2 linked regions of the Callithrix jacchus genome follow. The protein of the gene in region 2 purifies or fractionates together with the protein of the main gene of each other region. This does not show direct contact. Links are inferred from orthologs where the notes say so. Each region holds a gene or a part of one and is shown on either strand. Other genes may lie near its edges.

The links.
Region 1: the proteins of TAF9B (region 2) and TBP purify together in Homo sapiens (affinity purification with mass spectrometry; 3 studies listed by BioGRID and IntAct, with this or other methods). This does not show direct contact. The link is inferred for Callithrix jacchus from reciprocal best matches to the Homo sapiens genes TAF9B and TBP.

The regions. Positions count from the first base shown.
Region 1 is NC_133505.1:177,175,740-177,183,689, reverse strand, and holds the start of TBP (TATA-box-binding protein), read right to left. Parts: upstream 4,512-7,950; 5' UTR 4,417-4,511; intron 4,263-4,416; exon of another isoform or gene 3,896-4,262; intron 2,020-3,895; exon of another isoform or gene 2,017-2,019; 5' UTR 1,869-2,016; coding exon 1,815-1,868; intron 1-1,814. Other genes in the region: PSMB1 (proteasome subunit beta type-1), read left to right, coding at 5,544-5,656. UniProt on the Homo sapiens protein: The TFIID basal transcription factor complex plays a major role in the initiation of RNA polymerase II (Pol II)-dependent transcription.
Region 2 is NC_133524.1:75,893,267-75,901,148, reverse strand, and holds the start of TAF9B (transcription initiation factor TFIID subunit 9B), read left to right. Parts: upstream 1-3,010; 5' UTR 3,011-3,025; coding exon 3,026-3,076; intron 3,077-3,713; coding exon 3,714-3,795; intron 3,796-4,554; coding exon 4,555-4,691; intron 4,692-4,773; coding exon 4,774-4,908; intron 4,909-5,954; coding exon 5,955-6,030; intron 6,031-7,882. UniProt on the Homo sapiens protein: Essential for cell viability. TAF9 and TAF9B are involved in transcriptional activation as well as repression of distinct but overlapping sets of genes. May have a role in gene regulation associated with apoptosis.

The DNA.
Region 1 (7,950 bases), on a different chromosome or scaffold from region 2:
TGCAGCCAGTAGTTCAAGACAAGCCTAGCTAACATACTGAAACCCCATCTCCACTAAAAATACAAAATTTGGCTGGGTGTGGTGGCGCATGCCTGTAATTCCAGCTACTTGGGAGGCTGAGGCACAAGAATCACTTAAACTCAGGAGGTAGAGGTTACAGTGAGCTGAGACTGCACCACTGCATTCCAGCCTGGGTGACAGAGTAACTCTGTCTGCCAAAAAAAAGAGAAAAAGAAAAGAGAACGTTTGATAACAATAAGAAATAATAACGAAAAAGTTTGAAATCCTGCAACAATTACCAAAATCTAACACCAAGATTGATGTTAGAAAAATAATGCCAACAACAGACTCACTGGGTACAGGTTTACCACAACCTTCAATTTGTCAAACGTGCAATAATGTGAAGTGCAGTAAAGTGAGGTGGGCCTGTGTGTGAGTGGCTGCTCGGGAACATTAGTAATCAGGCAAATAAAAATCAAAACCACAGTAAAATACTATAAGCAATCACTAGAGTAAAAGGAAAAGTAGAAAGACTGACAGCACAAAGTGTTGGTGAGGATGTGGAGCAACTAAAATTCTCTCACGCTGCAAAACACTATGGCCACTTCAGAAAACGGCTTGGCAGTTTCTTATAAAGTTATACATACACTGATAAAGGACCTAGCAGTCTTACTCCTAAGTACCTACCCATGAGAAATCACAGTGAATTCAAAGTCTACACAAATATTTATAGTGCTTTTATTCATAATAGCTCCATACTGGAAAGACCTCAAATGTGATCAACTGGAGAATGGATCTGTGGAACATCCAAACAACGGAGAGCTACTTGGCTATACAAATGGATTAGCTACTGATATACAAACAGTATACTGGGCTAGGAACTCATACATACATAAAAAAGCATACACTGTATGATTCCATCTATATGAAATTCTAGAATAGACAAAACTAATCTTTAGCATTGAAAAGCAGATTCAGTAGTTGCCTAGGGCCAACCAAGTGACTATAAAGGGGAAGAAAGGACTTTCTAAGGTAATTGAAATGTTCCCTAACTTACACAGGTACATACATTATCAGAACAACTGACATTTAAAATGAGTATTTTTATTGTATACAAATTATATTTGAACAGAAGTTACTGATTTTTTTTTTTGTTGAGATCGAGTCTTGCTCTGTTCCCCAGGCTAGAGTGTAGTGGCATGATCACTGCTCACTACAACCTTCGCCTCCCAGGTTTAAGCAATTCTTCTTGCCTTAGCCCCCTGAGTAACTGGGATTACAGGCACCCGCCATCACACCTGACTAATTTTTGAATATTTAGTAAAGATGGGGTATCAACAGGCTGGTCTCGAACTCCTGACCTCAGGTGATCTGCCCACCTTGGCCTCCCCAAAGTGCTGGAATTACAGGCGTGAGCCACCACTCCTAGCCAGAAAAATTATTAAAGTAGATGGGTGGTTGAGAGCTTGAAATGTAAAAAGGGAAAAATAAAACTAGAAAATAATTTGATGACGGTGATTTTCAAAATCAAAGAACCTATATAATCATTTGGAACATTCTCATAAGTGTTTACCAAAAGATTAATGTTTTATTAACAAATATTTAATTTAGCTTCCAAACAGACTCCCCAAATAAAACACTATTGTGCCAATTCAAAGCCTAATAGAAAGTTTCAACAAAATAAGGCTTAAAAATATATATAAAATCATTTTCAAAAACAGATCATTAAATACCCTTCCTTCCCTTTGATACCATCTCTTGAAGTACATATTTCTGCCCTCCCTGTTCTCATTCTCTTCCTCCTGCTGTATTACCTGAGGGGAGGCCAAGCCCTGAGCGTAAGGTGGCAGGCTGTTGTTCTGATCCATGATGTTCACTTCCTTCTTGGCAAACCAGAAACCCTTGGGCTGGAACTTGTCTCACCATTCAATTTTTTCCTAGCGCATCTCCAGCACACTCTTCTCAGCAACTTCCTCAATTCCTTGGGTTATCTTCACACACCAAGAGACAGTGATGCTGCTTTGGAAAAAAGCCTGAAGTTTAATGTAAGGATTCAGGTAACCTGTACAGTCCTATAAGCCAGTTCCATGGCTATACAAAACACAAACAAGAAAACCAATGAAGCTATTTTGGAATACATTGCCTTTTGCTTTATAATCCTGAAGTCTTATTCCTTCCATGTTTCCTGTGATTACATGTAAAATCGCCAACAAAAGTCATTTTGTTACGCATTTAAATACTATGATGATGCATCAAAAACTTTTGAGGAAAAATACTGAGAGGAAACTAATTCCTAAGCAAACTGTAATATCACAGCAGAGTATTCGTTAAGCACTGTATATACAGCACAGTTAAGCAAAGTTCAGATCTTTATTCCAATTTTATATCCTCTATAATGTCTTGGGCAAAAAATTAAGTAAATATACTTCAGTGATCAGTTATTGAGCTCCTACTATAATAAAACTAAAAAAAAAAGCTGCACAAAGATAAAACCCTGCATTTTTGTAAATAATAACCTTACCTCTTTAGAACACATTAATGCAAACCGTGCCTGTTATCTGGCTTTTCTTAAATCATCATCTCTTTACTCATGTCCATATCTGAAATGAGTTTATAATAACAACATATTCTCACCCAGAACTTCAGGTCTCAAAGTTACAAATTATATGTCCAAAGACCCTTCAGGCATATGCACTTCAAGCATGTGCTGGTACACAATAGACACTCAGATATTTGTGAAGGAATGAAAGATTCTGAGGATCGCTTTGAAAGGGCTAAGGCCCCCAGACTCTGTATCCTACCTACTCATCACTGAAAAAATGGCCAAAAAAGAAAGCAAGCGAACTCTGCTTCTGAAAATAAAAATATCAGAGATGTTTTTAAAATTATACTTTTTGACAGTTACCGTATAATAACAATAACAGAAGTGATGCAGATGAGGATGTAAAGATTAGGAGGTTATAGTCCTTGGCATCAAAATGTTCAATATAAAGGGTATGCAAATCATTACTATAAAACATAGTATAATAGCAGGTGTGCCCTAAGCTAAGTTTCTTTTTTTTTTTTTTTTTTTTTTTTTGAGACGGAGTTTCGCTCTTGTTACCCAGGCTGGAGTGCAATGGCACGATCTCGGCTCACCGCAACCTCCGCCTCCTGGGTTCAGGCAATTCTTCTGCCTCAGCCTCCTGAGTAGCTGGGATTACAGACACACGCCACCACGCCCAACTAACTTTTTGTATTTTTAGTAGAGACGGGGTTTCACCATGTTGACCAGGATGGTCTCGATCTCTTGACCTCGTGATTCACCCGCCTCGGCCTCCCAAAGTGCTGGGATTACAGGCGTGAGCCACCGCGCCCGGCCAGCTAAGTTTCTTGAATGTAGAAACCAGTCTTTGTCATCCCTGCATCTAGCACTATGCCTGGAATACAGTATGTGATCATGAATAAGTGCATATATGCCCCTGGAAGAGAAGACATATAGACTAACAGCACACTACTATGAAGAGGGGCAGTGTTTTCACAAAACAAGGACCATCTAACTTGGGTCTCACAAGGTGAATAGGAATTTACAGGTCAGGGCTTCAGATAAACGAGGTAACATTGAAAAAGCATGCCGTATGAAGGTGACAAGCTTAGTATGACTGTATAGGTCACTACAGGAGATGAGACGGCAAATATTGGTAGGCTCTTATCACTTTTTGCACGTAAGTCTACAGAAGAAACCGCACAGTGGTTACTGCACTTTCTCCCTAGAAAAGGGTTGTTTGCTGGGTCTCTTCATCTCTTCGAAATTGAAACATCAAATTCGATATTTTTTGGAGGCAATCTAACTCTGCATAGCCTTCTAGTGTCTGTATATCTAAATGAAGCATAGTCTTTTCACAGAAAAGCCTACCTAGAGATTTGGAAAACCATGATGGCCTGAACCGAGAGATGGGAGGCCCTGTAAACAAAGTGATGTGTACTGTATCTTAAGCGCTACTGTGTCCGCTGTCTCAGGCTTCTGACAAAGTATTTAAGTCTCAATGTTGGTAGCAAAATAGGCGGGCACAGACCACAGTGAATCTGCCTTCAAACATGGAGAAGAAGCGGGTGGCAGGCCAGGGCAGAATAAACTTCGGGTCTTCGATGCAAGGGATTGCCCTGTCCCGCCCGCCGCCGCCGAGCCCGCCAGTACCCTGCGCCCCACGCTCGTATGACGGGAAGCCGCTTGCGAACCACAGCGGAATAGGGCACCAGGCGAAAGCGGCGGCCGAGTGGCCGTTACAGGCCGGAACGGCGGCAGCACGAGCGGGAGGAACGTCCCCTGCAGGGCCTGCGCGCGCCAATTCCTTGTCTCTTCCCCACCATCGCCCCCAGGCCTCAATGCAGTGGTCGCCTCCGCCCGAACCCTCAGAAAAGAGGACAAGCTGTTACCTGGGTCACTGCAGAAATTACTATGAGCCCGCGGAAACGAAGTTAAACAGCCGGCGGCCCAGGCGCCCGCCACAGGAACCCTGCCCGACCCCACTGAACTCCAGGCGCGCGTTGATAATGTCACTTCCGCCAGTTCTGCCCTCGGCTTCAGCGAATTGTTCTCACTGGGGTCGTGGCCATGCGAAGTGTGGGCACTTGCTCACTTCCTGTGTTTCCGTAGGCGTGTAGTTTAAGGGAAGGAGGGGCGAAGCTCTTGAGGAGTTCCGGGACTGGGCGGGCGCACCACCGCTGTCTCTAATTGGCCCTTGCTGGGCATAGGAAAGATCAATTTTTAAATGGTGTGTGTGTTTCAAGCAACTAGAGGCGTTACCGTTGGCAAGTTCCCTGACTTCTTCCCCGCAGTTTCTTCTGTAAAATTTAATAATGATGATACTAGTGCTTAACTTTGGGCTCTCTGGAGACTGACAGTCAATGCCTGAGCAGTGCCTGGCACTCAGTAAGCGCGTGCTCCTTACCTGTCAGCAACAACGCTAGCTGATCTTCAAGCGTGTAGAATGACTAGGAACACTAAGCAAAACACAAGCCGCTTCAGGCACTGTGGTCAAAGGCTCGATCCGCAGTTGTTTCCTAGTGGGACGTCAGCACGCCTTTATTTTACCTTCTATAGTTCGTTTTGGCGGAATCATATATTATACCGCTTGTTTCCTTTGGACTTTCTATTATCAGTGAGGTTGTGAGCTCTTTAAGGATAGGAAATGTTACATACATTTTGTATTAGCCAGGACAATTTAGGCTGTTACTATTATTCCAGTTGCCGTTGCTCCACAGTTTTGGCAAATTTTTGCACGGTCAGACTTTTAAAATTTTGTCCATATGGGTGAATTCCAATCTTTTCTTCGGGGGAAAAACAAAAAACAAAAACCTTAATATCTTTCTGGTAATGGGCAGGACCCAACTATGAAAGGGACTAGCGGCAGAGCAGCCCTCCAGGAGCAACGACTAGTGCGAGATAGAGAGGCCGGGAGCGAGTTACAGGAAAGCCGGAAGTGGCGTAACGTCCGGTCAGGGCGGCCATCTCGCCGTGAGGCAGCAGGAGTAGCGGCCGGAGTTGCGGGCGCTTCAGTGAGATGTTGTCCTCTACAGCCATGTATTCGGGTCCTGGCAGAGAGCTGGGAATGGAGCCGCACAGAGCTGCGGGACCTCTGCAGCTACGATTTTCGCCCTACGCTTTCAACGGAGGGTAAAAACCCTTGAGAGCCGCAGCTTTCACTTTCGCCCTCCCCCCATCTGCTGAAGCCTATTTGGGGGTCACCGCCGCGAAGGCGCTGCCCAGATCCCCTGCAGGCCTCAGAACCCTGAGCTGAGTGGGTCCGCACAAGGCCGGTCTTCCTGCCGTCCTCTCTTGCGCTGTTTCCCCCTTTAGGCTCGCTTTGCTCTGGTTTACTTGGTGATTGCGATACAGCCTCGGTTTTTAGGGTTTCCCATTACCGCCTGGTTGGCTGGGTCTGTGCGGACCGCCACTCCATGCTCCTTGCTGCTGTAAGACGGTCGACAGCTTCCGCCCATATGGAAGACCTTTAAAACTATCTTAGCTTTTCGCAGAGTCTGAACACGTTTCTTAAGCCAGCAGGCGAGGACAGAGGTCTAGCGTCTGAAACTAAAAAGTTAGGATTGTTTGGTCTGTGTTGTTAGATGCATAGTTGTGTCGGTAGGGAACGTCTCATTGTAGCTGCCTGACTTCCGTTATCTCTAATTGTGCAGTTTAGTCATTGTCTTTTATTTCAAATAGAAGGTGGGATTGATTGAGCAAACAATTTCGTAGATAAGTGCTTTTTTTTTTTTTAACGTTCGGCTTAAGTTCAGGAAAAAAAAAATAGAAGATGGACCTTGTAATATGTGGGTTCTTGCATGTTCAAGTTTGGTTTTTATTTTAATTACCAGCTTTATTTTGAGTAATAAAATTTCCCGTGGTGGTACACCAGAGATTTAGAGTTACAGAAAGATGCTCTGTTTAAGAGTCTTGACAGGGAAGAGCTGTAAATTTAAGCAGTGGTTATAGTTATCAATTAAGCTTAGTATATTAAAATATAAACACTCAATTTAGAACAGATGGTTCTTTAAGAAAATCAAAAATATTGGCTGGGCACCATGGCTCGCCCCTGTAATCCCAGCACTTTGGGACGCCAAGACAGGAGGATCATCTCTTGAGGCCAGGAGTTGAAGACCAGCCCCATCTCTACAAAAAAAAACTTTAAAAAAATTTAAAAAGCAAAAATATTAATTGCTTCCTCATAAATTTCAAATATTAACGCACGTTTTTGGAGTGTGATAGATAAGGAAAGACTGATTTTAGCTTCGATTCTGCCACTAAAGGATAGTGTGGTCTTTGGGTACTTCTGAACTTCTTGAACCTAAATTTCCTTATCTTCCTTAGCAGCTTCATAGTTTTTGGTGAGAAACATGAGAGATGTATTTTGTAAATTGTAAGCCGTCATCTTATTTAATCCTCTAACACTTCCTGTGATGACTCATTAAGTTATATATTGTAGGGAGGGTTATTGGACCCATTTTGTAAGACTATTTCCCATAAATAAGAATTTTCAGTGTTAAGTATGCCCTACTCATTACTCGCTTTTTACTCCCTTGTAATTCGGTTTATGCCATTACTGCCCTAAAAGTTACTTAGAACTTTCTGATTACTTTTCCTTAGCGTTTGTTCTTTTTCTTTCGTGTTTATTGCAGCTGGCTCTCAGGTAGTCTTTGCTTCCACAAAATGAGGCCTAGTTCTTTCTTTCTACTCTCTTTAGATGTAGTTAAACAAATCATTAGGTGCTTTATCACTCAGCACTCTTAATGTCTCATTCCTGGGAGGATTAATCCCAAATCTGATTTTTTAGTTCTGCCTCTCATGAGTCCCTCGATTCTTGCTTCTTCAGTAAACGTTTCTTTTTATTTGTTTATTCATTCATTCATTCATTCATTTTTATGAAGACAGGGTTTCACCATGTTGGCCAGGCTGGTCTTGAACTCTACCTCAGGTGATCCGCCCACCTCGGCCTCCCAGAGTGTTGAAATTACAGGCATGAGCCACCATGCCTGGCCAGAAAAACATTTCTATCGGGTTTTTCTGCTCTTATGGTAAATCAAGACAGGTAACAAAACAAAAAGCAAGCTAATTATTCCTCTCAATTTCCTCTCCTCCTTTGTTTTTATTATTATTATTTTTTTTTTGAGATGGAATCTCACTCTGTAGCCCAGCCTTGAGTGCAGTGGCACAGTCTCGGCTCATCGCAACCTCCACCTCCCGAATGCAAGCAATTCTCCTGCCTCAGCCTCCTGAGTAGCTGGAATTACAGGCACCCACCACCACGCCTGGCTAATTTTTTCTATTTTTAGTAGAGAGGGGTTTCGCCGTGTTGGCCAGTCTGGTCTCAAACTCTTGAATTCAGGCAAATTCAAACTCCGGAAATTCGCCTGCCTCAGCCTCCCGAAGTGCTGGGATTACAGGCATGAGCCACTGTGCCCAGCCTCCTC
Region 2 (7,882 bases):
TGGGTACTAGGGTGACAAGATAATCTGTATGACAAACTGCTGTGACACAAGTTTACCTATATAACAAACCTCCACATAGATCCCTGAACATAAAATAAGATTTTTTTAATGTGGTGCTTATATATAACGGAGTACTATTCAGCCATAAAAAAGAATGAGATCCTATCATTTGCAACCATATGGATGGAACTGGAGATCATTATGGAAAGTGAAATAAGCCAAGCACAGAAAGACAAACATCACATGTTTTACTTATTTATGGGATCTAAAACTCAACACAGCTGAACTCATGGACACAGAGAGCAGAAAAATGGTAACCAGAGGCTTGAAAGGATAGTGGGAGGGTAGAGGGGCAGATAGGTTTATGTGTACAACAAAATAGAAACAACGAATAAGACCTGATATTTGCTAGCACAACAGGGTGACTATAGTCAGTAATTTAATTGTACACTTTAAAACAACTAAAAGTACAATTGGACTGCTTGTAATACAAAGGATAAATGCTTAAAGAGATGGATATCCTATTTTCCATAATGTGATTGTTTCACATTGTGTGCATGAGTCAAAACATTTCATGTACCCCATAAATATACTTACTATATACACAGAAAAATTAAAAATTAAAATTATATATAGATAGGTGATAGCTGTTTATCTTATTGTATTTATATTCTTTTAAAAGTCGTATCCTTCTGTATATAAAGAATACACACCACAACTTACAAAATGTAAATGTGCAAGAGTTAAAACAAATTGTGACAGAGGACAGAAATATAATGAAAAATCGTTAGATTTTCTCACACCTATTATTTAACTTATACTACTGTTAATACTAATGGCCACTGTTTAGTCCTAATGTTTTGTTTAAATAGCACTTATGTAACAGAAAATAATACATAAAAAACATATAACTTCAAATACTTATTCTTAAGTAATGATACATATGCACAATTATTTATGTTATGGGTTTTCTTCATCTAGTACATCTATGTCCTGGGTTGGCTCTCTGAAGGTTGGTCACCCTAAGATTATAGTACCATCTTGTTTATATAAAAAATATATAAACAAGATACTATTTGTAAATTGCATAGAATAGAAACTGGTAAACAATGGTGCCTTCTGTGAAAGTGACATCAGTGGCCGGAACAGGTAAGAAAGATTTTCTTTTAGTAGGATATTTTAAAATACTCTTAAATGTTGTACTCTGCAAATATACCAGCTATTTTTTTTTCTTTTTCTGAGACGGAGTCTGGGCTCACTGCAGCCTCCACCTCCCTTGTTCCAGCAATTCTCCTGCCTCAGCCTCCTGAGTAGGTGGTACTACAGGCATGAGCCACCATGCCAGGCTAATTTCGGTATTTTTAGTAGAGAAAGGGTTTCACCATGTTGGCCAGGCTGGTCTCAAACTCCTGACCTTAAGTGATCAGCCCGCCTGGGGCTCTCAAACTGCTGAGATTATAGGCGTGAGCCACTGTGCCCAGCCTCCACCTATTTTTAAATGTTGTATCCTGCAAATATTGTAAACCAAGGGAACTGTTATTAATTTTACACAGAGGCTGGCCACAGTGACAGTGGGGAAAGGCACCGTCTCAGCATGGGAGCACATGCTCTCACTGGAAACAATGTATCGATAACACGTGTTTCTTGGCACTCCGGCCCAAACTTCAAGATGGCGGACGAGTGGACGGCTGGTTGTGGCGAGTCTGATAAGGTGAGCTGCTCCACAAAACTGAAGGGCCCACTAAGCCTGAGAAATCAGTATGTATTTGTGTATGTGTTTGTGAGGAGAGTTACTGGAGGGTTTTAAGGAAAACAGTGATTGGATTTATAACTAAAAGGTACCTCTAGCTGTGTAAGAAAGGGGAGGGGGACCCTATTTGGGGAGCATATTTCCGTAATCTTGATGAGTAAGGATGTTGGCTTGGACTCGTTAGCATCATAGTAGTACTGGATGGAGATGTGTGAAGACATGGATAGAAATTTGGGAGGTCACCCGGACAAGACTTGTTGCTAGATTGAGTGTGGATTGTGAGGTAAACAGCAATATGGCTGCCTGCCGGTTACACCCTCCGGCCTGAGCGAGTCGTGGTGCCTCTTCCTGAGATGGAAAATGCTAGGGCATTGGTGGATGTGGAGGGTAAGAATGAGTTATCTGCGACATTTTAAGACAGACATAGTGAACTGATGCACATTTTTGAAAGTCACTGGGGCTGGATGGTCGGTTCTTACGAAAGTTATTCGGGCTGTTCTGTGGGGAGGGGCTGGGAAGGGTGTAACTGGGAGGCAAGGAAAGGTCCTGCGTTTGGCCTCAACGGGGACAGACAGGAAGCTGCTCAAAGCCAAGTGAAGGCTTTAGTTTTTCATCAGGGTGAAATGGGCAGCCACAGTAGGGCTTTGAGTGTGACAAGAGCAGACCAAAGACCGGCTGTATGGAGAGCAGTCTATTGGGTAGGGTTGCCAGATTTAGCTAATAAAAATCCCGGACACCCGTTCAAATATGAATATCAGATCAACAATTATTTCGTAGCATAAGTACGGCCCATGCGAATTTGGGATATACTAAAAATGTATTCCTTGTTGATATAACATTCAAATCTAACGGGTCCAACTGTGTTGTACCAAGCAGCCCTAACACTAACTAGGTCTGGAATTTCTGTAAGCCAAAAGGGGCGATGGTAGAAGCGGTGGAGGTGTCAGGAGGGACCCCCGCAAAGGTGAGCTTTTCCCATTTGGTGCCCTTTGACTCAGAACAACTCTGGGAAGTCGAGCCTCTCGGCTCTTCTACTTCTTTTAGCCCATAGCAGGCTCCACGGGGAAGGATTCCCTGCCTCTTCCAATCCTTCTGACCACTGACGCCCGAGCGCGTCTCTTCCCCCTGGCCAGCGTCTTGCTGAAACTCCCGCCCCCGGCGGCTGGCACGTAACCCCGCCTTCTACTTCCCTCCTCCCGCTCCCCGCAGGGGTGGGGCCTGAGTGAGGAGACCGCGAGCTGCCCCCTCTCCCCGGATGACGAGTCCCTGGATAACATGGAGTCGGGCAAGATGGCGCCTCCCAAGAACGCTCCGAGAGATGCCTTGGTAAGTGCGAAGGATGAGCGGCGGAGCGCGAAGCCGGGTGCGGCCAGGGACCTGCGAGGCAAGGCCACGTTGAGGGCCTAAAGGCGGACTCGCGCGCTCACTTCAGTCCAGTCAGGGCCGCCAGGAGGAGAGGGTGATGGGGATGCGCCCTGGCCCCGGGGCCCCTCTCTCGCCGCTCGGGCCAAGCCTTACCAGGGGGTCGCGGTCCAGCAAAGCTTGCGGAACGGCTGCCCAGCTTTGTGTCCTGGGCTTCGGGCCCCTGCCGCCTCCTCGTCTCGACCTGCCAGCCTTGACTCCGCGTCCAGGGTTCTGATGCTAGCTTAACTCGCTGCCAAAACCAAAAATGACAGCCAGCTGGAGCTACCCCTACTTCTGCTGGAGAACCCAACTCCTGTCTTCTCTTTGCCCCCCCCCCACCGGTCCCCAACCCCGCCAAAAAATAAAAATAAAACTTTTCAGCAAAAGCGTACTATGCGATTTGGTGTGATCACTGACTCACTTGGGAGGACAAGGGTGAGTAGAACTTTGAAGCCCAAAGAAAGGGAACCTTGTATAATAAATGTAAATACTACCCTTCAGGCTAGCCTTGATTTCCAGTACCAAATTCTGCATCTGGCGTTTTTATTTGAATCCACAGGTGATGGCACAGATCCTGAAGGATATGGGAATCACAGAGTACGAACCAAGGGTTATAAATCAAATGTTGGAATTTGCTTTCCGTAAGTTAAACACCAAAAACTTGCCTAACTTGTGAATTTGAAAAGATATTTTTATTGTAGGAAGTTTTTTTTTGAGACAGGGTTTTCCTCTGTCGCCCAGGCTGGAGGGCAGTGGCACAATCTCGGCTCATTGCAGCCTCCCCCTCCTGCCTCCCATTGCAGCCTGAACCCTCCTGGGTTCAAGCTATTCTCATGCCTCAGCCTCCTGAGTAGCTGGGACTACAGGCACGCACCACCACGCCGGGCTAAGTTTGGTATTTGTAGTAGAGGCGGGGTTTTGCCACACTGCCCAGGCTGGTCTTGAACTCCTGACTCGGGTTATCTGCCCATCTCGGCCTCCCAAAGTGCTGGCATTACAGGTAGTGCCCAGCCTTGTGAGAACATTTTCAACTAAATTACGTTAATAGAATCATAGGATTCAGCCTAAAGCAGTTAAAAAGGAGCTCGAGCTAGGGGACAGTAGTACTCACGTGGTTATATCTGTTTAAAATTGATCATATAGACAGGACAATTAGCTATTAAAGGCAGCATTTAGGCTGGTCACAGTAGCTTACACCTGTAATCTCAGCACTTTGGGAGGCTGAGGTGGGAGGCCAGGAGTTCGAGTTATGCCTGGGCAACATAGTGAGACCCCATCTCTTCAGAAAACAAAAAATTCATAAACTGTCTACAAATTAGTGGAAACTTGTATTAAGACAAATAGCCATAAATACTAAGCTGTCTTCATATGTTTAAGAAAAGATTGTTTTGTTCTTAAAGGATATGTGACTACAATTCTGGATGATGCAAAAATTTATTCAAGCCATGCTAAGAAACCCAATGTTGATGCAGATGATGTGAGACTGGCAATCCAGTGTCGTGCTGATCAGTCTTTTACCTCTCCTCCCCCAAGAGATGTGAGCAAACTTTGATTTGAAGTTATTTTTACTTAAAATTTTTTAATCTGTAGTTCTAATAAGGATTTTTTTTCTTTTTTAGTTTTTACTGGACATCGCAAGGCAGAAAAATCAAACACCTTTGCCACTGATTAAGCCATATGCAGGACCTAGACTGCCACCTGATAGATACTGCTTAACAGCTCCAAACTACAGGCTGAAGTCCTTAATTAAAAAGGTAAGAAATTTTAGTCAAGTTGGCTTTTTTCAAAAGGTGGGATATGATAGGGGTCTTTGTGAAAAGTAAATTCCTGTAGCTAGTAAAGGTTAAGATAACGGAATTTTTTTAATTTTCAAAAAATGTATACCTAGAAGGAACTTTCGTGTTCATTTAATGCAACAATCATTTTTCACATCAGGAAGTGGAGCCTGAACTCATTTATGAAGTTAGTAGCAAAGCTAGGACTGATTCCAAGCCTCATAACTCCCAATCTTTCCACTATTCGTAGTTTTTTTAGTGAGGCCTAATAACAGAGGGAATGATATACCATCAGGAATTGGGCCAGCTTTCTGAAATATGACCTAAAGCTCTCCCACCACTGAAAAAGTTATCCCCACAATAGGGTGCCTTTGTTTTCTTAAGTTCCACTATAAGAGTTTTATTCCTTTTTGGGTTAAGAAATTGACTAGTTAAGATTAAAAATCACAAGTTAGTTGTTATCCCCATTCAAATAACACTCTATCTTAAACTTTAATATTGAATAGGATTATATATGTATTCATATCTTTTTTTCCCCCCCAAGATGGAATCTTGCTGTCACCCAGCTGGAATGCAGTGTCACAATCTCAGCTAACTGCAACCTCTGCCTCCCAGGTTCAAGCAATTCTTCTGCCTCAGCCTCCCAAGTAGCTGGGATTACAGGCACCTGCCACTGCGCCCAGCTACTTTTTGTATTTTTACTAGAGACAGGGTTTCAGTATGTTGGCCAGGCTGGTATTGAACTCCTGACCTCGTAATCCACCCGTCTCAGTCTCACAGAGTTCTGGGATTACAGGCGTGAGCCACCGCACCTGGCCTTCATATCTATTTTTACATAGATAAAGACATGTATATATGTTTATGCAAACACCAGATTAAATGTTGGACTTAAAACACTGATAGAACAAAAACAGGACTTTCTTGCCATGAATTATCCATAATCATTTACAACAATAATCCTAATTTCATTCCTGGAAAATTAAGGTGTCACATCTTAACATTAATTTGTTTTTTAAATCTCCTAGGGACCTAACCAAGGGAGACTAGTTCCACGATTAAGTGTTGGTGCTGTTAGTAGCAAACCTACCACTTCTACTATAGGTAAGTGAAAGGAGAAAATGGCTTTTCTGGCTGGTAAAGCAGTACCTCAGCACTTGGTTTTGAACTATAATGCAAGACAAAAATTGAGTCAAATTCTGTATATGTGTTATTAATAATTTTATTCATCCTCTAGTAAAACTATAAATATACATGTAACTGAATTTCAAAATGAGAAAGACACAAGGAACATCTGATCTCGAATGAGTATAAAATTAGACATTGCCCACATTGTTGTTGGTATAAACTCTGATACCAAAAACAGGAGTTTACCCTTAGCTGTGTACTTTATGCTTTCTATACAAATGTATGTGTCCTTTTGACAGATCTGTGTCATTCTGTGAGCTTTTTTTGCTTTCTGATGCAATAAGATGTTCCAAACTCATGCTTTCCTGCCCAGTTCCTAGAATCATCTACTTCTCCAAAGAGCTGTGGTTCCTTTTGGTGGAGAATGGTATTCAGAATCCATTATTTGTTTCTTTTTAATATCATTGTTGTTTAGATAGTAAGGAAAACAAATAATGTACTTAGATTTTCTGACTTTTTTTCCTACATTCCTGCTGGGTTCCTTGCATAGTCTAGTAATCAAAGTATTTTCAGAAAAATCCCTCTTCATCAGTATTAAATTATTGGCTCTTATTGCTTATAACTTGAGTCCCATGGCTGCCGTATAGCTCAAGTATAAAGAGCATTTGATTTTTGAGGTGTGTAAACCCTCTCTTCATATTCTCAGGATGTAAATTTGCATTTCAGCATTGTAAAGCCACTTTGGTATAGTATCAGTTGTACATGTCTAATTACCCACCTGTGACCCTTGTGGACAGAAATCTGCATTATAATCTTTGTAAATTTTCATCATATTCTGTTTGTGGATTCACATTACTTAAATGAATACCAACTATTTTAGGCTGGTAATCAGTTTCATATGCTAGGCAGGTTAACTAATTTTAGTTATCAGTTGTGATTTTTATTCCTAGCTAGACATTTGTTCTACATACTTCAGAGATTTTTTTAAATGTAGAGGGCACTACCAAAACATACCTGATAGTTTTAAAGATGCAAGGTTTTTTTGTTATCTTGTTTTTTGTTTTTTTGAGACACAGTCTTACTCTGTCACCCAGGCTGGAGTGCAATGGAGCAATCTTGGCTTACTGCAACCTCCGCCTCCCAAGTTCAAGCAATTCTCCTGCCTCAGCCTCCCAAGTAACTGGGATTACATGTGTGGGCCACCACACCCAGCTAACTTATGTTGTTGTTTTTTTTTTAATAGAGACGGGGTTTCACCATGTTGGCCAGGCTGGTCTTGAACTCCTTACCTCAAGTGATCTGCCCACCTCGGCCTCCCAAAGGCCACACCAAGCCTAAAGATGCAAGTTTTAAACTTTAAAAAATTAAAATGAGCTGACCAGGCACAGTGACTCACACCTGTAATCCTAGCAGTTTGGGAGGCCAAGGCAGGCAGGCCAATCACTTGATGTAAGGAGTTCAAGACCAGCCTGGCCGTGTAAGGAGTTCAAGACCAGCCTGGCCAACATTTTGTATTAAAAATACAAAAATTTGCTGGCCATGGTGGCGGGTGCCTGTAATCCCAGCTACTTAGGAGGCCGAGGCACAAGAATCGCTTGAACCCAGCGAGCCAAGATTATGCCATCACAGTCCAGTTTGGGCAACAGAGTAAGACTCTGTCTCAAAAAAAAAATTAAACTGAGTTATATAGACTTTAAGACATGAGTATTTACTCTCTTCAATTGGGGGTGGGAGGGAACTACATCTACAATCTACTGTCTTCACTTTTAAAGCCTCAACTCCATACCTGCTTCTGTACTGACAATTCTTAAGCCAAGAAAACACCCAC